3 linked regions of the Diceros bicornis minor genome follow. The protein of the gene in region 2 interacts with the protein of the main gene of each other region in a biochemical or structural test. Links are inferred from orthologs where the notes say so. Each region holds a gene or a part of one and is shown on either strand. Other genes may lie near its edges. The genes, in order: GRM7, PICK1 and PRKN.

The links.
Region 1: the proteins of PICK1 (region 2) and GRM7 form a complex in vitro, tested with the Homo sapiens proteins (2 studies listed by BioGRID, with this or other methods). The link is inferred for Diceros bicornis minor from reciprocal best matches to the Homo sapiens genes PICK1 and GRM7.
Region 3: the proteins of PICK1 (region 2) and PRKN form a complex in vitro, tested with the Homo sapiens proteins (3 studies listed by BioGRID and IntAct, with this or other methods). The link is inferred for Diceros bicornis minor from reciprocal best matches to the Homo sapiens genes PICK1 and PRKN.

The regions. Positions count from the first base shown.
Region 1 is NC_080741.1:73,028,365-73,035,870, reverse strand, and holds the start of GRM7 (metabotropic glutamate receptor 7), read left to right. Parts: upstream 1-4,405; 5' UTR 4,406-4,417; coding exon 4,418-4,526; intron 4,527-7,506. UniProt on the Homo sapiens protein: G-protein coupled receptor activated by glutamate that regulates axon outgrowth through the MAPK-cAMP-PKA signaling pathway during neuronal development.
Region 2 is NC_080764.1:11,767,824-11,775,337, reverse strand, and holds the start of PICK1 (PRKCA-binding protein), read left to right. Parts: upstream 1-4,472; 5' UTR 4,473-4,676; exon of another isoform or gene 4,677-4,729; intron 4,730-4,735; exon of another isoform or gene 4,736-4,826; intron 4,827-4,966; 5' UTR 4,967-5,023; coding exon 5,024-5,064; intron 5,065-6,494; coding exon 6,495-6,606; intron 6,607-7,514. UniProt on the Homo sapiens protein: Probable adapter protein that bind to and organize the subcellular localization of a variety of membrane proteins containing some PDZ recognition sequence.
Region 3 is NC_080778.1:7,907,456-7,915,537, reverse strand, and holds the start of PRKN (E3 ubiquitin-protein ligase parkin), read right to left. Parts: upstream 3,005-8,082; 5' UTR 2,911-3,004; coding exon 2,904-2,910; intron 1-2,903. Other genes in the region: PACRG (parkin coregulated gene protein), read left to right, coding at 3,475-3,630. UniProt on the Homo sapiens protein: Functions within a multiprotein E3 ubiquitin ligase complex, catalyzing the covalent attachment of ubiquitin moieties onto substrate proteins. Substrates include SYT11 and VDAC1.

The sequences.
Region 1 (7,506 bases), on a different chromosome or scaffold from region 2:
CAGCAATGTTTTATAGATTTCGGTGTACAGATCTTTCACCTCTTTGGTTAAGTTCATTCCTAGGTATTTTATTCTTTTTGTTGCAATTGTAAATGGGATGGTATTCTTAATTTCTCTTTCTGCTACTTCATTGTTAGTGTATAGAAATGCAACTGATTTTTGTATGTTGATTTTGTATCCTGCAACTTTACCATATTTGTTTATTACTTCTAAAAGTTTTCTGGAGGATTCTTTAGGGTTTTCTATATATAAAATCATGTCATCTGCAAATAGTGACAGTTTCACTTCTTCCTTTCCAATTTGGATCTCTTTTATTTCTTTCTCTTGCCTGATTGCTCTGGCTAGGACTTCCAGTACTATGTTAAATAGGAGTGGTGACAGTGGGCATCCTTGTCTGGTTCCTGTTCTTAGAGGGATAGCTTTCAGTTTTTCACCATTGAGGATGATATTAGCTGTGGGTTTCTCATATATGGTCTTTATTATGTTGAGATACTTTCCTTCTATACCCAGTTTATTCAGAGTTTTTTATCATAAATGGATGCTGTATCTTGTCAAATGCTTTCTCTGCATCTATTGAGATGATCATGTGATTTTTGTTCTTCATTTTATTAATGTGGTGTATCACGTTGATTGATTTGAGACTGTTAAACCATCCCTGGATACTTGGAATAAATCCCACTTGATCATGGTATATAATCTTTTTAACGTATTGTTGTATGCAATTTGCTAGTATTTTATTGAGGATTTTTGCATCGATGTTCATCAGTGATATTGGCCTGTAATTTTCTTTTTTTTTGTGTTGTTTTTGTCTGGTTTTGGTATCAGGGTAATGTCGGCTTCATAGAATGAGTTAGGGAGCTTCCCCTCCTCCTCAATTTTTTGGAAGAGTTTGAGAAGGATAGGTATTAAGTCTTCTTTGAATGTTTGGTAGAATTCTCCAGGGAAGCCGTCTGGTCCTGGACTTTTATTTTTGGGGAGGTTTTTGATTACTGTTTCTATCTCCTTGCTGGTGATTGGTCTATTCAAATTCTCTACTTCTTCTTGATCCAGTTTTGGAAGGTTGTATGATTCTAAGAATTTATCCATTTCTTCCAGATTGTCAAATTTGTTGGCATATAGCTTTTCATAGTAGTCTCTTATAATCTTTTGTATTTCTGAGGTGTCTATTATAATTTCTCCTCTTTCCTTTCTGATTTTACTTATTTGTGCCTTCTCTCTTTTTTTCTTGATGAGTCTAGCTAAAGGTTTGTCAATTTTGTTTATCTTTTCATAGAACCAGCTCTTGGTTTATTAATTTTTTCTATTGTTTTTTTGGTCTCTATTTCATTTATTTCTGCTCTGATTTTTATTATTTCCGTTCTTCTACTGATTTTGGGCTTTGTTTGTTCTTCTTTTTCCAGTTACTTTAGGTACATTGTTAGATTGTTTATTTGAGATTTTTCTTGTTTGTTGAGATAGGCCTGTATCGCTATAAACTTCCCTCTTAGAACCGCTTTTCCTGTATCCCATAAATTCTGGCATGTCGTATTTTCATTTTCATTTGTCTCCAGGTATTTTTTCATTTCTTCTTTGATTTCTTCGTTGACTCAGTCGTTGTTCAGTAGCATTTTGTTTAATCTCCACGTATTTGTGGTTTTTCTGATTTTCTTCCTATAGATGATTTCTAGTTTTATACTGTTGTGGTCAGAAAAGGTGCTTGGTATTATTTCAATCTTCTTAAATTTATGGAGACTTGTTTTGTGGCCTAATATGTGATCAATTCTGGAGAATGTTCCATGTGCCTTTGAAAAGAACATGTGTTCTTCGGTTTTTGGATGGAATGCTCTGTATATATCTACTAGGTCCATCTGTTCTAGTGTATCATTTAAGGCCAATGTGTCCTTATTGATCTTCTGTTTGAATGATCTATCCATTGGTGTAAGTGGAGTGTTAAAGTCCCCTACTATTATTGTGTTACTGTCTATTTCTGTTTTTATGTCTGTTAATAATTGCTTTATATATTTAGGTGCATCTACATTGGGTGCGTAGATATTTACAAGTGTTATATCTTCTTGTTGGATTGTTCCCTTGATCATTATGTAATGCCCTTCTTTGTCTCTTTTTACAGTTTTTGTTTTAAAGTCTATTTTGTCTGATATGAGTACTGCTACCCCAGCTTTCTTTTCATTGCCATTTGCCTGGAGTATCTTTTTCCATCCCTTCACTTTCAGTTTGTGAGTGTCTTTAGGTCTGAAGTGTGTCTCTTGTATGCAGCATATATATGGGTCTTGTTTTTTTATCCAGTCAGCCACTCTTTGCCTTTTAATTGGAGCCTTTAGTCCATTGACGTTTAAAGTAGCTATTGATAAGTATGTACTTACTGCCATTTTTTAACTTTTTCTTTCTCAGTGTTTTAGTAGTCCTTCTCTGTTCCTTTCTTCTTCTATACAGAATTGGTGGTCTCTTTAGTTTGACCTCTGTCTGCAAGCTCTACGCTTTAACTCCCCTCCTCCCTCCTTTTATGTTTTTGATATCATATCTAACCTCTTTTTTGTGCATTTGTATCCATTACCCTCTTATCATGGAAATAGATAATTTTTCCTATTTGTGGTCTTCTCTTTTCCCCTCAAATCAGTCCCTTTAACATTTCTTGTAGCGCTGGTTTCTTGGTGACAAACTCCTTTAATTTTTGCTTGTCTGGGAAATTTTTGATCTCTCCTTCCATTTTGAATGATAACCTTGCAGGGTAGAGTATTCTTGGCTGTAAGTTTTTTCCTTTTAGCACTTTAAATATATCATGCTACTCTCTTCTAGCCTGTAAGGTTTCTGCTGAGAAGTCTGCTGATAGCCTTATGGGGTTTCCTTTGTATGTAACTTGACATTCTCTTGCGGCTTTTAGGATTCTCTCTTTATCTTTAATTCTGGACATTTTGATTATGATGTGTCTTGTTGTGGGCCTCTTTGGGTTTATCTTGTTTGGGGCTCTCTGTGCTTCCTGTACCTGGATGTCTGTTTCCTTCCTTAGGTTAGGGAAGTTTTCATCTATTATTTCTTGAAATAGATTCTCTGCCCCTTTGTCTCGCTCTTCTCCTTCCGGAACACCTATAACACGGATGTTAGTGCACTTGGTGTTGTCCAAGAGCTCACTTAGACTGTCCTCACTCTTTTTAATACTTTTCTCTTTTACCTGTTCAGCTTGGGTAATTTCTTCTAGTCTTTCGTCCAGCTCACAGATCCTTTCTTCTGTATCCTCTACTCTGCTTTTGAGTCCCTCTAGGGAATTTTTCATTTCCAGTATTGTATTCTTCATTTCTGATTGGTTCTTTTTTATATCTTCCATTTCTTTGTTGACATTCTCACTGAGTTCATCTATTCTTCTCCCCAGATCATTGAGCCTCCTTAATACTCTTAGTTTGAACTCTCTGTCGGGTAGGTTGCTCATTTCTGTTTCACTTAGTTCCTTTTCTGGGGTGTTGTCCTGTTCCCTTACTTGGAATGTATTCCTTTACCTCCTCATTTTGCCTCTTTCCCTGTGCTTGTGTCTGTGTATTAGGTAGTTCAGCTATGTCTCCTGCTCTTGAATAGGTGACCTTATGTAAGTGATGGCTTAGGAGGCCTGCAGTGTGCTTCCCTCAGTTCTCAATGTTCCAGGGGTGACCCCTATGTGGGCTACGTGTGTCCTTCTGTTGTGGCCTGTTTGCTCTCCCTGTAGGCGCCCAGGTAGGCCGAGTTATGCTCCTGGCCAGCTGTTGTACTGCTCAGCTGCTTGTAGTTGTTGTGGGCCCTTCAGTCTCTTTATCAGGTGTGGGGAGCCCCAGCACAGTTGGCTGCAAGTTCTAATACCACATTTGTGTTGCATTATTTTTTTTAAGTGAGTAGGCCCCCAGCGTGGCAGGTTGTTAGGCTCAGGGCCTTACAATTGCTGTAAGCCTCCAGCCTTTAGGTCTCTTGTCAGCTCTCTGAGGATTGCAGCTGGGTGGGGCTGGCCTCAGGCATGGGAGCACCCAATTTTTTCAGGCTGTCCTTCCTTTGGAAGGAAAGACCTGTGTGGGTCTTTGAGAAGCACAAGTCTTCTGCAGCTGACAAGCCCTGCTGCCCACAGGTCCACACACACAGTCAACACAGTCCTGCCCCTTGTGCATGCCCCGACCTCCCGAAGCGAACCCAGTGTCTCCGCTGCGGGAGCCCCACACACTCCACCACCGCCCCACACTCTCCACCCACTCCTTGTGCACACTCTGCCCCGCTAAAGTAGGCTCAGTTGCCAGGCTGCAGAGAATCCAGTCACCAATCTATGCAGGCCCACAGGTTGCCTGAGGGCTTGTTGTTGGGTGGGGCCAGTCTCTAGGGTGGGCTGCCTGCCCTGGCTGAGCTGGATTAAATCAGTGCTCTAGTGGTTGGGGCAGACCTGGGCCAGCAGGCCTCAGGGAGAACTCCAATGGTGTCTGTGTCAGCATGCCCACACCAGGCCACAACAATGGCCGCCGCAATGTCCCAGTCCCTGGAGAGGTTTCACCTCTCACCGAGATGCACTCAGGGCCTATCAGGTGAGTCTCTTTTCACCAAAGCACTGTGCACCTTTCTTTCTGGTGATTTTAGGTTGCTTTCTGAAACGGGTGAGTTTGCGCGTGGGCCCTTTAAGAGCCGGTTTTACTTTCTTGTGAACCAGCTTTTCTGGGGGTACTCCCCAATGTTTTAGTAGCAGGTAAAGTCAGATATTATGCCACTCATCTCGATTGTGCTGAGTCCACAAAATGCCCACAGTGGGGGTGCTCCCCGGCTCAGGGCCCTACTCCTCCAGGGAGGCTGCGTACCTGTGGGCTGCTCCAGGGCGGCCGTGAGGCGCTGCGGCTTGTGAAGGTGGCGTTTTTCCTCTGCAGAAGGGAGTTTCTGCCTCTTCTAACTCAGTTAGGATTGTCCGTTGTTGCAGAAGTTCCTCTTATCCAGTTTTCAGTTCTGTCTCAGGGGTAATTTTTCCACGAGTAGTTGTAAATTGGCTGTGTCCGCGGTCAGAGGTGAGTTCAGAGTCTACCTATGCCGCCATCTTGACTTCTGCTATATCTAAGTTTTCTTCTTTAGATGTTATTTTACTATTTTTTTATACATTTAATAACCTTTTCCCTAAATAATTAATCTCATCCACATTGCAGATAGAAATGCCCAAGAGCTTCCTTTCTAACAAATCAAACATTTTCTTTTTCATAATTGAACTGTGGTAAGTGATTGCATTTTGCAAAGAAAACAGTATTATATTTCTAGAGAATGTATGACCTACAACATATCTGCTTTAGCATACTAGAAGGTTTGAGTTACATGAACTGATCTCTAAAATCTTTTCCAATTGGAATTTTCCAGCTGGAGAAGTTGAGATTCAAGAAGATTTTAGGATGAGCAGTGTAGTTTAATGCTTCACTATGTCATGATTTAGCACCTCCTCATATATTAGGATAACCTCCATCTCTGCTGCACACTCTATCTCTGTTGCTTAATTTCTCATTAGTTGATTGACCTGCTCAGGCAAATGAATAATATATAGCAAGACCATGCATTCATAAAGTATCTAGATAGGATATGTTTTGTATATGTGGTTTTCAGTTCCTAGATATTCTATTAGTATTTGGTTAGTTCCCCCTCTGTGACCTAATTAAATTTCTTGAGGATATTTTGATAGCCTCATTTGAATTAAAGTGAATCACTCAGACGTTACCTTCTATGAGTGTAAACATGAAGCATTCTACATTTTGTAAATTCAGATGGCTTTTTATTGAAATCCAGAAGCTGAGGTTTTGGCCTTTGTGAGATGATTGACCATATGAAATTTTCTGTCTTTAGGCTGCCTATAGTTCTGGGTAACTGGCTCTACAAAAATCTATAAACTAACTCTAGCGAGTGTCAACTACATAATTTTCTACTTACAGATTTATATTCTATGCATTTTACAATTGAAAGTGTTCAACACAAACATTATATTAAAGCTTTCTCTGCCTTATTAACTGGTTAATTTAGAATATCACATTGATTAATGTTAAATGCTTAGGTTTGGGAACAGTTGGCTCAATTTTGTTCCACTGAGTTTTTTGTTTTTCATGTCTTTATCCTTCTAGGTGCTAAAGGACACTGAAGTTTTGATTGTTGGCGATGTCGTCATTTATTTGATTAGAGTTTATCTTATTAGTGTTTCAGTAATATATATAAAGTAGAATAAAGTGAGTCCATACGGGACTGAGAGACTGAGGTTTAGTTTTTGAATATTCCAAAGCAAAAGTTTTCATATCAATGAACCAGATCTAAAAAGCACTATATTCTGCCTCTTTTTACACTATCCCTCCTTCTCCTTCATTCCCCACCATTGTTTAATTCACAGATTATTATAACTGGAAAGGTCTTTAGAAAGTTTTCTATTCAATCTTTTCATTACAAGATAAGAGAAAGGACATCTCTAAAGATTAAGAGTCTTGTCTATATTAGCTCTGTTGATCATTACTAATACTAAGTCTTCCACATAAGGTTGTAAGAGTTCTTGAAAGGAACTTAAAACTTCCTAAGATAGTTTCTTTTCCATTCTTAGAAGCGGGTAGAGAGTACACATGCTTGGAGAAATCCAGCCACAGTTCCGTCCCTGTATCCTGTAATTATTGGAGGGGAAAAGAAGGAAGAAAAGAGGCTCCTAAGAAGATGGATCAAAGTTTCCTAGGGGGTTCCTCCTTTCCACTTGGATTTTATTTCTGTCCTTTAGAGTTAATGCCTTTAAATGATTGGCAAGCCCCTTAGGTTCATAGTTACAAAGTATCTCCTTGTCTATTTATCTGATGTAACTGTGTCAGAAAGAGACCAGCATCTGCCAAGATTTAGGCTCCCTCTGCTGTGGTTTGGTATAAAGCCATTGGTAATGGCTGTCCAGCAGGATACTAACTTTGTAGCTGCCACCACTACCATCACAGCATCCGTGCATTTGGGCAGGACTATATGAATAGTTTTCACCAACTGAGTAAGAGCAGAAAGGATGTCTCATTGTAGGAACAAAATGGTGAGAAACAAGTGTACATTCTCTGTCCTTTTATACCTTCCCATTCTCTCTCTGTTGACTGGGATCCAAAGGAATCTGTGGCCATAGGAGTCACCAATCTACACAGTTGAAGGAATCATTTTAGAGAAGAGAGCTGCCCATGAATCAGGAATGTCTTTAATGAATTGTTACAAGAATGATAAATAAACCTTTGTTATGTTAAGCCACTCCAGTTTTGGTGTTTATTTGATTTAGTCACCAACATTACAGTGACTCAAATGGCTTTTTGTGTTAATCATGTCAAATAAAAGTAATATGCTTATTCCTTTTACTGCCTAGATATGTTTCTCTGTGTCTATAAATGAAGAAATAGCCTTATTTTTATTGTGAAAAGTAGGAAAGAAAAAAATGTTATGGGGAAAGATAAGGTAGTATCTTTGAAGCATATGTTTATATTTATAAGGTATGTCATTGTTTATCTCTCAAGCAATTTTCCCATTTCACATGAGATGTATCATCCC
Region 2 (7,514 bases):
AAGTGACACTTCCAGGGTCACATGCTGCTACTGAGGCAATGCTCTGTCCAGCCCACCCACCAGCTCCCCACAAGTCCACAATCACACTCCTTCCCACTGGGCTCCCCTTTGATTTGAGGCCCTGCCCAGTGCTCTGAAGTGGGAGGTGTTACCTGGGCTCATCGCCTGCCTCTCCCAGCAGGTGAGCCCTGTCACGGCGGGGTATGACTAGTGTTCCCTGACGTGTCCTTGTGGCCTGGACACGGTAGGTGCTCCATACACACTTATTGAGTGAATGAATGAATGCGTGAACGAATGCACCGCCTCTAAGGGCCGTTGTGAGGGTCACGTGAGAGGGATGGAGACGCCTGGCGCAGGCCCGGGGCATTGGGGTAGAGTCCCACTGTCAGCCGCTGGGATTCCTGTAGTTATCTGTTTGATTTTAAAGCCCACGGTCTAAATCTCCGTGCTGACGATGAACTGAACCGAGCCTGCCCAACCACTCCTGGTTTCTTGACCTTTCCAGGGGCCTGGGAAGCCAGTGGTGAGTCAGCGAGGAGTCAGGCCTCATGCTGGAGCCACAGCAGCGCCGAGGGGCGGGCACGGCAGGCACAGCACAGCACGTGCATGACCAGCCTCACCATGGCCTCGGACAACAAAGACTCCTCCCCAGCCAGCCCTGAGCTGGGCCTGGTGGTGACAGCGACAGGAGTGGAAAGTGGGGGGACTCTTGCCACCGCGGGGTGCCCCAGGAGGTGTTTCTCCCAAAGGCCACTGGGTGGCAGCACTTCCCCAGGAATATGGGGTTAAGGGGACAAGCTTCTTTGGGATTGAATCTGAGGCTAGGGAACCTGAGGGAGGGAATCTTAGAGAAGACCGAGGCTCAGAGAGGGGTTGGGGCCTGCCTGGGGTCACAGAGCTTTCAGTGGCAGGGCGGGGCCAGGGGAGAGGTCACCCGCCTGCCTGGACAGACGCAGGAGCAGAGGTGGGGAGGAGAAGGAGGAGGAGCAAGCTCGGAGAGGGACGGTCTGAGCACCAGCCCTGGCTCAGCCTCCGGGAAGAGGGGGGATGTCCTCACCCCAATTTCAACCCCCAGAATCCTACCCATCCTTGAGGAAGGTGCTCAAACCTCCCCTCTGAGGCCCTTGCTGACCCCTCTCATCTGTGACTCTGGCCGAAGTGGCAGTTCTCTCCATGCTCCCACCTGATGGTGGCCTCATCACGCCTGTCACCACCCCCACTGTGTGTCTCCCCCACCACAGTGATTCCCTGAGGACAGGGACTGTGCCTTGTCCCCCTATCGCCTGCATCAGCTGTGCCCTCTGCTGGGTCACCTTGCCCCTCTTCTTGGCCTGGGTCCCACCAGCACCTCCTTCAGGACTCAGCTAAGATGTCACTTCCTCCAGGAAGCCTTCCCTGGCCTTTGGCCTGGGCAGAAGCCCTGCCTCTGGGCCCACATAAGGCCCTGGCTCCTCCTGGATGGTGAGGCCTCTGGGGCCAGGATGGTTGGTGGATCTGAACGGGCCCAACCCAAGCATGCACAGACACTGCATTCTGAGCGTGTGACACAGTGGTCCTCAAACTGCAGTAGGCCTCGAAGCCACCCATGGAGCTTTGTGAAAATGCAGCCTCCAAGATGCCCCCTTCCCCAGAGACTCGGATCCGATAGGTCTGAGACAGAGCCCAGGAATCTGCATGGGAGACACTTCCCAGACGAGTCTGATGCCGGGGCCTGAGCATCTTAAGGCCCTCTAGTGTGCCATCGGCCCTGCCCTCTGAAGGAGTTGGGCAAAATGATTATAATGAGGAATGACGATCAAAACCTCTGACATCTGTGCCAAGTGAGTCACTCCCAAGGCACTTTCACACCGTTTCTCCTTTCTATCTTCATCTGTATAACTTCTGTCTTGGGAGGGATCCTCATCCCCCCTCTACAGACACCCGAGGCTCAGAGGCAAAGGGTGATTTTGCCCAAGATCCCCTAGCTACAAAACAGCAGAGCTTGGATTTGATCTGGGGCTGTCCTGAGGTGGGAGAGCTGCAGTCTGTGTTAGAGCCTCTGGGCTTGGAGGTTGCTGTTTGTCAAAAACTGAAATTCAAAAATTCAGGACCAATAATTGGTCTGGTGATTCCAGTCCTGTAGAGGAAGCTCAGGCGACTGCCACGGTCCAGGTTCAGGCCCTCATCTCTCTTTCCCTCTCTGTCCATCCACATCCTCTCCTCCAGGGCCCAGAGAACATTCCCTCCCACATAAAGCCACAGTGATATCAGTGGCTCTTCACCCACAGCCAGGTATTGTGCCAGGCTCTGTGGGAGATACAGAGCAGGGCAAGGCCTGCTCCAGGGGCTTCCTGCCCACCGGAGGACAAGAAGTGTTTAACTTCGTGATGGAACATGGTACTCGAACCCTCTTTCCCCTCAAATAAGTACACGGTCCCAGCCTCACCCCCTTAATTAGCTGGAACAGGTTCCCATGCTGTGCGGGCTGACCCAGGAGGCCCCCTCCACTGGCAAATATAAAGTGGGTCATAATATTTTCACAGGCATTACAGAGCAATCAGATTTTCTTCTTATTTGTCACAGTGACACCTGTGGATGGATTCCTAGCATCCTATGGAAGGGGCAAGTGCCAGGGATTAGAAAGTCAGTACAGAACGGGAACTTAGGAAGGAGAGAGACAAGGAGAAGCCGTTTACAATTTGTCAAGATATGAGCCCTAAGCCCCAATTTTAAAGGGGAAAAAAACCTCCCCAGACAAAATACAATCATGTAATAAGTTAATTAACACAGAATTGGCTCAGGGAAGCTATGAAGGGATTTCACAAGGCCACACATACTTAATTGCCAAATGAGTGACTCAAATAACAACTGTTTCAGGAGCTCAGAAAAAGGGGCAAGATTTGTGAGCTGGGATTGTCTGGTAAGGCTGCCTGGAAAGGGTGGGTTAGAGCTGGGCCTGGAACACGGGAAGTTACCAGGCAGAAAAGAGGGTCTAGGCATCTTGCCCTCTCCTGGGAAGAGGGGCCGGAATGGGCTGGGGGTCAGGAGGCTCAAGTGGCAGCTGTGCCACGTGAATTGTTTACAAAGGACTCACACCTGTTTCTCCTTTTTCTCTTGACCTGCACAAGTACCTGTTGAGATGACCATTGTCCCTGGGCTGCAGACACCTGTAGCTCAGAGTCAGGCGGTGACTCGCCGAAAATCACTCAGCTACAAAATGGCAGAATCTGGGCTTGATCAAGGGTCTGTTACGGGTGGAAGAGCCACAGTCCGTGTTCAAGTATCTGGGTTTGGAGACTGTGCTTTTTTAAACTGAAATTCTGGCCTGCAAACGGGGCTTGAGGTTCCAGCCCTAGCTCTGCCACTGACCACCTGTGAGACAACCGGACACTGCTTCTCTGAGCCTCAGTTTCCTTAGCTGCACAATGTGGCTGGCAATCCTTGTTCTCCTCCCACAGGGTCATGGTGAACTTTACAATCCTGTGAAAGTGATCTGAACTGCAGAGCACTGGGTACATGGGAAGGTCATTGTTATTGTGGCATTCTGCACATTTGCTGAGACTCAGATTAGCCCCCTAAGGAGGGGGTCCAGGGGAGCTCCCATCAGGCTACGGGATATGTGGATAATCTCTTTGCATCTTTCCTTTCTCCGCTGCCCCTGGCGGCAGCCAGGAAAGAAGCTGGATGGGTCTGGGCCCCTGCTGCCTGGATGAGGTGGATGCCAGGGCAGTGGCTCTGGGAGCACCAACCCCCTCCAGGGAATCCACTTCACACAATAGCAGAGGTTGGCAGGGAGACGAGATACAGACTCCTTGGCAAGGAAGCACTGATGGCATTTCCTGAGCCTCAGGTACATGGGGGCTGTGACCCTCAGTGGGACCCCAGGGAAGCTGCTCCTCAGGACTAAGGTGGGGGATAGGGTGAGGAGTCTTTTACCAAATACCATAGAAAGCATCTGCCTCAATGCTCTTAGTTTGCATATGGGGAAAGGAGGCACGTAAAGGGAAGGGAAGGGAAGGGGACTGTCCAATCTGTCGTTAATAGAACCACTGAACACAAGTGTGCAAGCGTTGAAAGGGCACGGGACTAGGCGGCAGGAGTCTCAGGGTCAAGATCTGGATCTTAGACCAACTGTGGGTAGCTCTGGACAAAATCCCTTCCCTCTCTGGCACTTAGTTTCCTGATCTGCAAAACTGGGATTAGCCTGGCATCTAGGAAGGGTCCTTTCAGTTCAGACACTGTCATTCTAGTAGAGGACTCACAGCACCCTAGGACGGGGTGCTGAAAATGTGAAAGGGAAGGCCTCGGGGTTTGTAGTCCACCGAACTTCGCCAGAGGTCTCCCTGTCCAAAGATGCTTCCGTTGCCACGGCAACCGCCCGGCCGGCGTGGTCCCCGGCGTCCCGCTGAGGAATCTGGGAAGAACCCTGCCCTTACCAAGATGGCGGCGGCCACAGGGCGTGGGGCGGGGTTGAGCGCTGCCGCCTGTCCAGACCTTTCCTCTCTTTCCGCTTTTTCCTGCTAAGGGCGAGCTTCCGTTAATACTTGTTGTCCTTCCTGGTCCTGGGAGCCCCGGGAGCCGGGGAGGGAAGAGTTGCCTGCAGGGATTGGGGCAAATACCCACGGCGGGAAGGCGGGACTTCCGCATCCTGACGGAAGTGACGCGACAGTCGCGGCCGCAGACAGGTGGAACGGCAGGTGGGTTCAGGTGCCAGCCTGGCCAGGACCTGGCTGTGGGACCGACGCTTCCGGTGAGCGACGGAGGCAGCTCCCAAGGGCCTGGGACCCGTGGGGCGGGCTCTGGGATCTGAGCCTTCCGCCCTGGCCTGGAGTACCCCCCTGTACCTCGTAAGAATCACCTCCCCACTGCCCCACCCCGGGACTCCGGCCATCCTCCAGAGGGGCGGGGGAGGGCCCGGCTTTCCCGGGGTTGGCATCTAGGCACTAAGGTTCCCTAAACCCTACGCGTTTTTCTCTCCCGGCCCCAGTTCCCCATTCCCTTGCCGAGCTGGGCAGTTAGCCAGCCCACCTCAACTCTCGGAACCATGTTTGCAGACTTGGATTATGATATCGAAGAGGATAAACTGTGAGTATTTCGTTCCCCGAAGTCCCAAGAGTGCAGGAGCCCCAGGTCCCTCAGGTTCCCGGATTTCCCAGTTCCCCAGACCCTTGATTCGCAGAGGGAGATTAGGTCTTGTACCGAAGCAGAGATGGACCCTGCCCTTCCAGGAGCACACCATCTGTAGGGAGCTGTGAGAGATCATTGAGAGATGATTACAATTCAGGGCCATAAGGGCGCTAATGGAGAATGACCAGGCTCAAGGAGAGCAGAGCAGATGGAGCACTGCCTCTGCTGGGGTGTTCAGGGAAGGCTTCACAGAGGAGGTGGCAATTGAGCCAGGTTCTGAAGGATGAATAGGAATATCGTAAACATACTTTCCTCCCCTGTACAGATGATTAGTGGGACAGATTTTCAAAAATTAAGTTGGTCTCCTTATTAGAATATATCCTCCCTCAGAGCAAGGATGGGGTCCAATGCCTTTCTGTGTCCTCAGCACTTAGTAAGGTGCTCAACATCAATAGCAAATGTTTGCTGTTAGCAAATGTTTATTGAATGAATAAGTGAATAAATGAGACTATTTACCACAAAACATAAATAAGTGTTAATTTATAGTGAAAACTGAGAGGTAACTGAGTAGAGCAATTGAGAGATGGATGACGGATAGTTTAACAGGAGAAGGCTTCCCAGAGGAGGTGGCCATCATGTTCCATAATGAGAAGGTGACAAGGACAGAGTCTGACTCAAATCTCAGAGGTAGAAGGAAGGAAAAGGAAGGGGGACCTAGGGCCGGCCCCGTGGCTTAGCGGTTAAGTGCGCGCACTTGGCTACTGGCGGGCTGGGCCCGGATCCCGGGCGCGCACCTACGCACTGCTTCTCCGGCCATGTTGAGGCCGTGTCCCACATACAGCAACTAGAAGGATGTGCAACGATGACATACAACTATCTACTGGGGCTTTGGGGAAAAAAAGGAGGAGGATCGGCAATAGATGTTAGCTCAGAGCCGGTCTTCCTCAGCAAAAAGAGGAGGATTAGCATGGATGTTAGCTCAGGGCTGATCTTCCTCACAAAAAAAAAAAAAAAAGGAAGGGGGACCTATTTTTATGGCGTGCCTGCTCTGGGCTGGGTTGGTGTTAACTGCCTTCCATGCACTTTCTTACAAGAACTTTGATAAAGCAGCCGTTTTTATCCACACCGTTTTATGAACGAGGAAACTGAGATGCAGAGAGGGTGACTTGGCTGATGAATGGCGTAGCTGGGATTTGATCCCACATCTGCATGACTCTAAGAGCTGTGCACGTCCCAGCACAAAATGCTGTCTTTTTGGCCAAGTGAGGAAGAGAAAAGGCTGTGCAGCATTTAGAGTCTCTCGGGCGTTTTGGAGGGCCTGTCCCCTTCCCCATTTCCTCCAGTGTCCTTCCTCGAGGACATTCAGCTTCATGTGCTGCTCTTTTCAGCGGAATCCCTACTGTGCCTGGGAAGGTGACCCTGCAGAAGGATGCTCAGAACCTGATCGGGATCAGCATTGGAGGAGGGGCCCAGTACTGTCCCTGCCTCTACATCGTCCAGGTATTGGGTGCTTTGGAGGCGGGAGAAGGTCCTGGGAGTGGCGAGCCACCTCCCTCCTTGGGCATGACAGAGGCAGGTTCATTTCTCCAATCTGCAGAGCTGGCTCCTTCTCACTCTTGAGGTCTGATCTCCTCGGAGCGGCCGTCTTGACCACCCCCTCTCAGTGGGTCTCCCCTTGCTTTTGTCTTTCATTTCAGTCTGTTCTTTTCCTTCTCAGCGTTTATCACCATCTGTAATCAGGGACTTGCTCATTAGTTGTTCTGTATCTAGCTGCCTTTCTAGACTCTTTGCAGTGTGAGGGCAGGATCCCAGTTTGCTTTTCCATTGCAGTCAGCACCTAGTACAATGCATGGCATATAGTGGACCTTCAATAAAAACATCTTGAATGAACGAACAAAACCACCAGCCTTGGGTACTAGCGCAAGGGAAGTGTGGTAGAAAGACTAACAGACTTTGAAATAATAATGGACGAAGTTCAAATACAAGTTTCCCTGCTTATTAGCAAGTTACTTTACCTCTCTGGGCCTCAGTTTCTTCACCTGGAAAGTGGGATGTAAAATATGTAGATATGAGCGTCTTTGGGTGGTTATGATGATTAAACAGAATGACGTGATGCAATGCCTGGCGCCTAGTAAGCACTCACTGCATGGTAGCGGCAGTTGTCGCTCACTGCTTTTTATGGCAGTTGTTCAGTTTCCCAGGTGACCAACTTTGTGGTCCTTATAGAAGCTGCTGCCCTGGTGATGGTCTGTCAGCTGTGACTCAGGAGCCAGGGACAGTTTTCTTCCCTGTGTGGCTGGTCGGAGTCAGGGATCTTTCTGTAGCCTTCGAAGGAAGCTTGCCAGCTCAGACATAAACTTGACCTGGATTCTACCATGTTCGAACCTTCTCAGCTAAGTAGCCCTTGG
Region 3 (8,082 bases), on a different chromosome or scaffold from region 2:
CCTCAAATATCACTACTAAAATTCAATTTTAAATACAAAGAATTGCTAATTTTAAAAAAGGGTGAAATAAATTTTAATAGAGGTGTCCAAAATTACATTTTTCTAAGTTGAATTTTCTTAAGCTTTTCTATTTTGCTTTACATTATCCTCAAGTCCTTCTCCACACTTCTCACAAAGTTATAGTTTTTCATCGACTTCAATTAGATTATGTTTCTGTAGCTGTCTGGGTCAGGGCATTTAACATATCAATCATAATCCAAGTGGGGAATGTAAGTACTTTGGAAACAGTCTCCGTGCCAAGAAGGAATCCCGGGTTTTAAGAAAGTAAAAGGAAGGTAATTTTATTGGTAGTGAGGTAATAGTCAATCTCCTTTACTCCTATTCCACTGAGAAACCCATTTTTGTTTTTCCTCAAAAGTGATGGAAGATTCAAATAAAGTAGAAGAGTACTATTTGCATTAACGAGGGTGTAGCAATTAAAGAGAGCACAGGCATGAAAGGGGCAAGTATGAGTAGCACGCATGTCTTTAGCAGAAAAAACTATCCCCAGATACATGTGTATTTGTTCTCCAGCTTATCACTGCGCAGAGACTATCACATCTTTCTTGGCTCTAAAGTTTAGTTGCGGAAACAGGAAACCCATCCCTCTAAGATGTCCCTTCACTTGCTTCCACTTTCACTAACCTTTACCATTATTCAACACAACCAAGTCCAAAACTGGCAGTTAATATTTTTATTAAAATATGCCCACCAACAGAATTGGGCAATGCAACTAGTTGTATAAAATAATGTATTGCACACTGTCCACATGGTTTTATATGGAAGGTACTTGTCCTGGGAAGGGGCATGGATTTAATTATTTATGTTGTAACACACATTTATCTGCACTATGTAAAACAACAGCTGGAGTATGGGAAAGAATGCCTTTTAAATCCACCTCATATTCTCCATGTCATTACTAGACATCGTCTAATCAACCACACCGTACTCTTCCTTCTTGTGGCCCTAAATCCCAAATAAAAACTAAACTGCCTAAACATATTTCCTCCTAATAAAGTTATTCATATAATCATTTATTAGAATTTAGAATTATGATGATTTTTAGATTTTTTTTTTCTTAAATATTTCTTTCTTTATTTATTGTGTGTGTGGGGGGAAGAGCAGCCCTGAGCTAACATCTGCCAATCCTCCTCATTTTGCCGAGGAAGACTGGCCCTGGGCTAACATCCGTGCCCATCTTCCTTCGCTTTATATGGGACGCCGCCACAGCATGGCCTGACAAGCGGTGCGTCGGTGCGCACCCGGGATCTGAACCCGAGTCGCCAGCAGCAAAGCGCGTACACTTAACCGCTATGCCACGGGGCCGGCCCCTGATTTTTAGATCTTTAAGTTCCTGTCTTCTTTATATAGCTTTACCATAAATGTTTCTTTTAAAATTATTCATGCATTACATTAAGTTGAATTAAAATTTGTGCAATTGTCTTTAAAATAAGGTATAGACTATTTTTTCCTATAAAATAGTGATAGTATGGATTTTGAAAAACTTCTACTTGGTTTTCTGATTCAGATCAGATTTGTGTTTACAAGTGGATCTTGTGTAACTGCCACCTAAAAAGGTTCAAAAGATTCCTAAATATTTACACATTTTTATTAATTTGACAGCTTTCAAAAGTCATTCACCAAAAGTTATACCAGGCTAGAAAGGTAAGAAAAGTTGGACATCTTTAGGTTTTATCATTGCCGCAAAGACAGTGTCAGTTAACTGGCATGATTCTCCTAGTTACAGGTAGAATGTTTTACATTTTAACATTATTTTCATAAATAAAAGATTTAAGAAGAGTTTATCAGTGCATACAAACTTACATATTTTAAAAATCCACCTCTCATCTTTCTGGACAAACCACATCTGACTTCAGATGCACTCGCTGCAATCAAAAGTGTTTTGTAAGTGGCGCCTGTCAAGAATAATCCTAAAATAAACTCACTAAATCTTCAATGCATAATCTAAAACAAGTCTCTGTCATAATAAACTCCAAACTAGCAATGTTTTCTAATCATATTGTGCATTTCCACTAATTTTCAGAGATAATCCCTAAAATAACTTTTGGTTTAACAACCCTGGAAGAGAGGAACTTTGCTAATCTTATACATCACAGTGCTTATAAACAATTCTAGTAGCCACTTCCAAAGCTTTATTCACAAAAATGCACCTAGGTTATTTTGTGTTTGGAAAAAAAAAAAAAAAAAAAAAAACTTTTGCATAGTGAATTAATGATTCACTATGCAAAAGGTTTAACCCTTGCTATGATTTACTCTTAATCGTTCATCTCAGACCTTCAATGAGAGATTTAAAAGAAAAAATCGCAGGGAGCAAGAAGTTTAAATCCACCTGCAGGAATTTCTTTTGATGACAACCATCATCACCAGGTACCTTCCATTAGAGTCAATGCTTCGCTAGGGTCTCCCTTAAAGAATCCTACAGACAGTGGGTCCCAATCTGTCCTAAACTGGAAGACACCGACCAAGTCTCCCTGAGGGATGGAAATGGGGGCGGACAGGAAGGCCTTCCCACGGACCCCCACAGGTCTGACTGAGCAGTGCACTCGCCGTGGGATAGTGGAACCCAGCGTCCACCTGGGGAGGAGCACCCCAGGGTCCCTCGCCAGGTTGTCTTCAGTGGGAAGCTTGTCACAGCAGGGGCGGGGTGGGGGCTTAGAACACACACTGGGCGGGCACTGGGAAGCCGCCGGCGCGGGCAGAGGACGGCGCGGACGCTGCCGCCCTGCCCTTGACAGTTGGCACTGGCAGGCACCCTGGGGTCCCCGTCGGCCGAGGCCCGGCGTGGCGCCACGGCTGGGCGCGGGACGGCGCAGAGAGGCTGTACCTGGCAGGCACCCACGTACCGATCATGGTCACTGGGCAGGTGGAGGCTGCCGGACAGGGCGAGGACTACCAGGGCACCGAAGCCCACCCGCGCCTTCCACCAGCGGCGCTCCGGGGTTAAATCGTCCAAGACTCCCCTCCCTGTGCCCAGCCGTAGGAATGCGCAAGCGCGAACGGCGCGCAGCCCGGGGCTTTCTGGGAGTCGTAGTTTTAATGCGTAGTTTCTCCTCACCCCCGCCCGCCTCCCGCCGCCTGCCGCCCGTCGGGACTGAGGCCCAGGAAACGTACGTCACGGGGGGCGGGACCATTCGGCCGCCGTGTTGACGCGTCGCTTAGCAACCGGGAGGCTAACCTTTAGAAGCTTGTTGCAGCTCAAGCCACGGTCCAGCCCTCTTCCCGCCCCTCCCCTCCCCTCAACTCCCTTCACCTAGGAGCTGCCAAACATCTGGATCAACCTGGGCACTACGAGGGGGTTGAAGTTCTACCATTAACGCGCCTTTTTACATTTTTTCCCGACCTCCTTCTCACATCCGTAAAACCCACTGACTCTTTTACTACACGTTTTATGAGAACAAGACATTTTCTAGGAAGATGGTGGCAGAAAAAGAGACCTTGAGCTTAAACAAATGCCTAGACAAGATGCCGAAGAGGACCAAGCTGCTGGCACAACAGCCGCTGCCGGTGCACCAGCCTCACTCCCGGGTTTCTGAGGGCTTCACAGTCAAAGCCATGATGAAAAACTCAGTCGTAAGTGATCTTTCTAAACTGAATGCACTCGCTCCGAATCAGATTGTAGAGGCTGGCTGGCCCTAGGATGGATTCGGAGCCCATGTCCTGGGTGGTCTTTGCCAAAAATGGCAATTATTCAGCCAGTAGCAGATGGTGCCCAACAGAGTGTGGAGGTCCAGGATAGGTTGTTAGAAAGGATCTTGGACAAGTGATGTACTATACCCATTTATAAGCACCTTCCTAATAACTCATGGTTTCTAGACCACCGCACATCACTCTTAAACTATTTACACAAAGAAGAAAGATCCACTTTGCTTGTTGATTCCTAAACTAGCCCAGTCAGCAAAAAGCCTCATTGAAAGTGAGTTCTTAGAAATCCTAAATTCTCTTGTAAAATTTTACATGTGCTGATGTACAGCTGGAAACATAAATATTAAATAATCTACAATAGGAAATCTCATTAATTCAGCCTAGGAAATTTTAGAATATCCTAGCATTTACTCTAAGGGCACTGTTTCTCACAAAAAGAAAACAGCAGGTTAGAGTACTGAAAGACACCTGAATATGAAGTCTATTTCCAGATAGACCTTTTAAACTGCTAATTTTAAACAAGCCAAGCTTCACTTCAAGTATCTCTGTTACTACAATTCGTATTTCATTTCTATTTTTTGTGGTAGTAAAAAGAAAATATTATCAATACCGTTGGGGGAAAAAGGTTTAAATTGCACACAAATAGTTTAGCTACATGCACGATAGGTATAGGAAAAAAAACAGCTTTAAATTTGGTATGCTAAACCAAGTTTTACCACGGGGTAAGCAGCTGTCTGGGAATGAGGTATTAAATAATAAATACAGCTTTCAAATTTGTGTAATTTACACTCTGGGAGGATCTGACTTATTGTATAGCAACTCATTATGTTAAATGAATAATGTTGCTTTCCAGTGTCACGTTATTTGTTTTACGTAAATGTTGTAAACCTAATACCTTCTTTCTAAACCACATCCTTAAAACACATGAATGAAACATATTACTTCTAGACCACTAGGCCAGATTCCCATGTTGCTACACAAAATGATATTCTGGTTGTTGGAATGTGTCAGTTGATTTACAGTAGTTAAAATTTTTGGAAATAGAGTAAAACTTCTGCTTGTTGTAACTGCAGTCTTTCTCCCTGTATTTCACGTGAATAGGTGGTCATGAGAGCCAAGACGACTCATTTATCAGCAATACAATGTATCATAACCTTAAAGCTAATTATTTGCTTTTCTTCTAAACAGAGTTTATAATTATAATTTTAGTGATTTTTTTCAATGTTATACTTTTTCAAAGACGTAAAAAAATTGGTCACATTCTTCCTCTTTTTTTTTAAACTCATGTTCATAATCATGTTTATTTTTTTTAAAACATAGCCTTATACTTAAAATCATAATTCTGGAAAATCAAGTATTTCAGTATTGCCGAGTGTAACAAATATGCTTACAGGACTCAAAAAACCGTTGATTATGAAGCAGCCTTCTTTTTAAACAACTTATTTGAGATAAATTATCTTCTTATTGCCATATTTTTAAGGAAAATCCTGTAGTGTAATATCTATGTCTCCACTGGGATCCTCAAAATAGGATGTCATTCTTTCACTTCATTTAGTGGAAATCATAATTGTTAGAGACAAACATTACTCGTCCCCTCATTCATTCAATCAACAACACCTTTTTTTTTTTTAATCTAAACTAAGAACTTGCTAAGCACAACTTTGGGGTTTGGGACCAGCAAAATAGAGTTCCTGCCCTTAATACTCCAAGGAAAACCACCGCCAACAACAACACTAAAGTATTGACGAAAGAGAGATAAACAGTACTGTTTATGCAAACTAACTTCAGTGGTACAGGAAATAAAACCTTTCATTTTCATACCCAGTATTTACATTTCACTGTTTCTGTCTTCAACCGTATAAACCTTTCGGCATTATAAAGTCAAAATACCCCTCTTTCTTAAGGTTTATTTCTGTTAGAAAATAATATGCCAATCTCTAGCTTGTCTTAATTACAACCTCTTGTTTCAAAAGCGAAGCCCTAAACCATTTTTCTAGTATTGGGACTTGCCTTCAGTTCCTTCTTTCCAATACTTGCTAATTAAATGTCACCATTCTGGTGCTCCTCCACGAAAGACATATAGAACCATACCCTAAGGAGTTCTATGGAGATTCCCAATGTTTCTTTAAGAGTGCTGTAGTCATATAAGGCTACAAACTCGATCATAAACAGATTTGATCAGATGGGCTATGCAAGCAGAAATCTTTATTTAAACAGTCATAATCTATATATGACAATGCAAAATTAATTACAAAATAATGATAAATGTAAATGGCTGGTTATTTAAATTCCAATAGCATATGCTGTTCTTCAGTAGTAAGTAGTTCCTTTACTTCCTTGAAATTGTTGTTGCCTTCTGTAGTGGAAACAAGCAATGACACAAGTTCTGCAATCAGAGAATAATATTCAAATGTTTATTGTTATAATGTTTGACAGAAAAGAATGATAGGAGATATAGAATTTGAAGAGTTCATAGTTCCTTTTCCCTTTAAAGGCCTTGTTTGTGGCATGATAGAGCCCATAACCAGAAACCTGTAGCCCAGTGTTGTATTGACTTCATCTCAATAGACAGTAGATGCTTTCTGTGCTAATCTACCTTATCATAAAGCAAGTTTGAATATGAGCCAAAGGTTATGATGATAGAGAAGTTGACTTCAACTGAAGCTTTATATTATAGCTTTCCTTTTCAGTAGACGATAGATTTTTTTAAGCTCAAAGTTTATGGGAATGGGAGAAATAATACTGTAATATTTCTTTACTTATATAGAAACTTTTATACTTACGAATCATATCTTCATTCAACACATTGTGGTAATGGTTAATGTTTATGAACCATATATTAAGATATTGACTTGGCTGCTTTAACAGAGACCAAATAACAATAGCTTAACTAAGATGGAAGTTGTTTCTTTCATATATACAAGTCCAGGTTTGTAGATTATCCAGAAGGTTGGGCACTGCTTCCCCATGAGATAGATCCAGAGACATAGGAGCCTTGTATATTCTTGCTTTGTATCCTGTAGGATGATGCCGTGGGTCAAGGTGAGCTCACCACCACCAGGGTCAGATCCCTATCCTCAGGAAGGAGGAAAGAGGAAGCAGAGGGCTTCCTTTTATGGGCGTGACCCAAAACACAGCACCCACTTTCACTCGCATCCCACTGGCTAGAATTTAGTCACAGGCCTATATTTTCCCTTTTTGCAAAAGCCTTTGAAAGATTGACCCTTAGAACAACTCCAGACCTTCGTACCTGTTTCATCAGGAAAAGGGCTAAGCCAGTTGTGTAGTTCCAAAAGAGCATAGTCTCCAGCTCCTACTTCATGCAGGAGGAGAGAAAAATGGGTAAGGAGCAACCTGCAAGAAAAGGCAGGAAAAAATGGAGAGCAAGCAGCTTCCTTAGAAGGGCACATGCCAGAAGTTGCACTCCTCACTTGTGCTCAAATCCGTCACCAACACAGTCTATGGCCACATCTAGTTGGAGGAGAGGCTGGGAAATGTAGTCTCTGACTGGTAGCTCTGTGTCCAGCTAAAACTTGAAGTGTTTTATTACTGTAATAAAGGGAAGCTGGGGGATGATTAGAAGTGTCCACCACCAGTGCTAAATATTGCTAGTGAAGAAAAGGAGATAGACAAATAAAATAATTACAGTACAAATAAATACACATCTATGGTAAAGCCTACAAATACCTACTCTCGTACAGTGGAAATACTGCTGATGAAAGGACCAAGTGACAATAACCTGATGGAGGCCCTCATCACCATTTGTCCAGGTTTTTACAACATATCCAAACTGGTCTCTAGCCTCCATCCACCAATTGGTTGATTGCCTCAATCAGCTATTAGTACTGTTACACTCACCTTTCTGGTACCAAGTTCTCCTCTTATCGCTGCTGAAAGCTTTTGGAGTTCTTCAGTTCTTATAGAAAAAAATCATGGTACCTCCCAGGACCGGCAAGGCCTCTGTGATCTAACCCCATTCTGTGGTTTTAATTCAATCTCCCACTGTTCTCATTCGCTTCTGCCAAATTAAACTGCAACGCTTCATTAGTGTGATTTTGCTTACGTTGTTCCCTTTGCACCAATGCCCTTCTCCCTGCATATCCTTCCCAGCCCACACAAATTCCTTCCGTCATTAGGTAACAAATATCTACTGATCACTATGCCAAGCGCTGTTTTAGGTGCTGGGAATCGAGCAGTCTGGAAGAGGCAGAACGCATGCCTCAAGGAGCTTATACTTTTTCGGCCAGCTGAAAAGCCAGCTGCTTCAAGGTGGCTTCCCTAATTCTCCCTCTTTGTCAACCAAGATGGAAACTGATCCTGTTCATTGTTTTCTACTGTGTATCCCAGTTATTTATGCTCGTGGTTTATCTCCTCATGTAA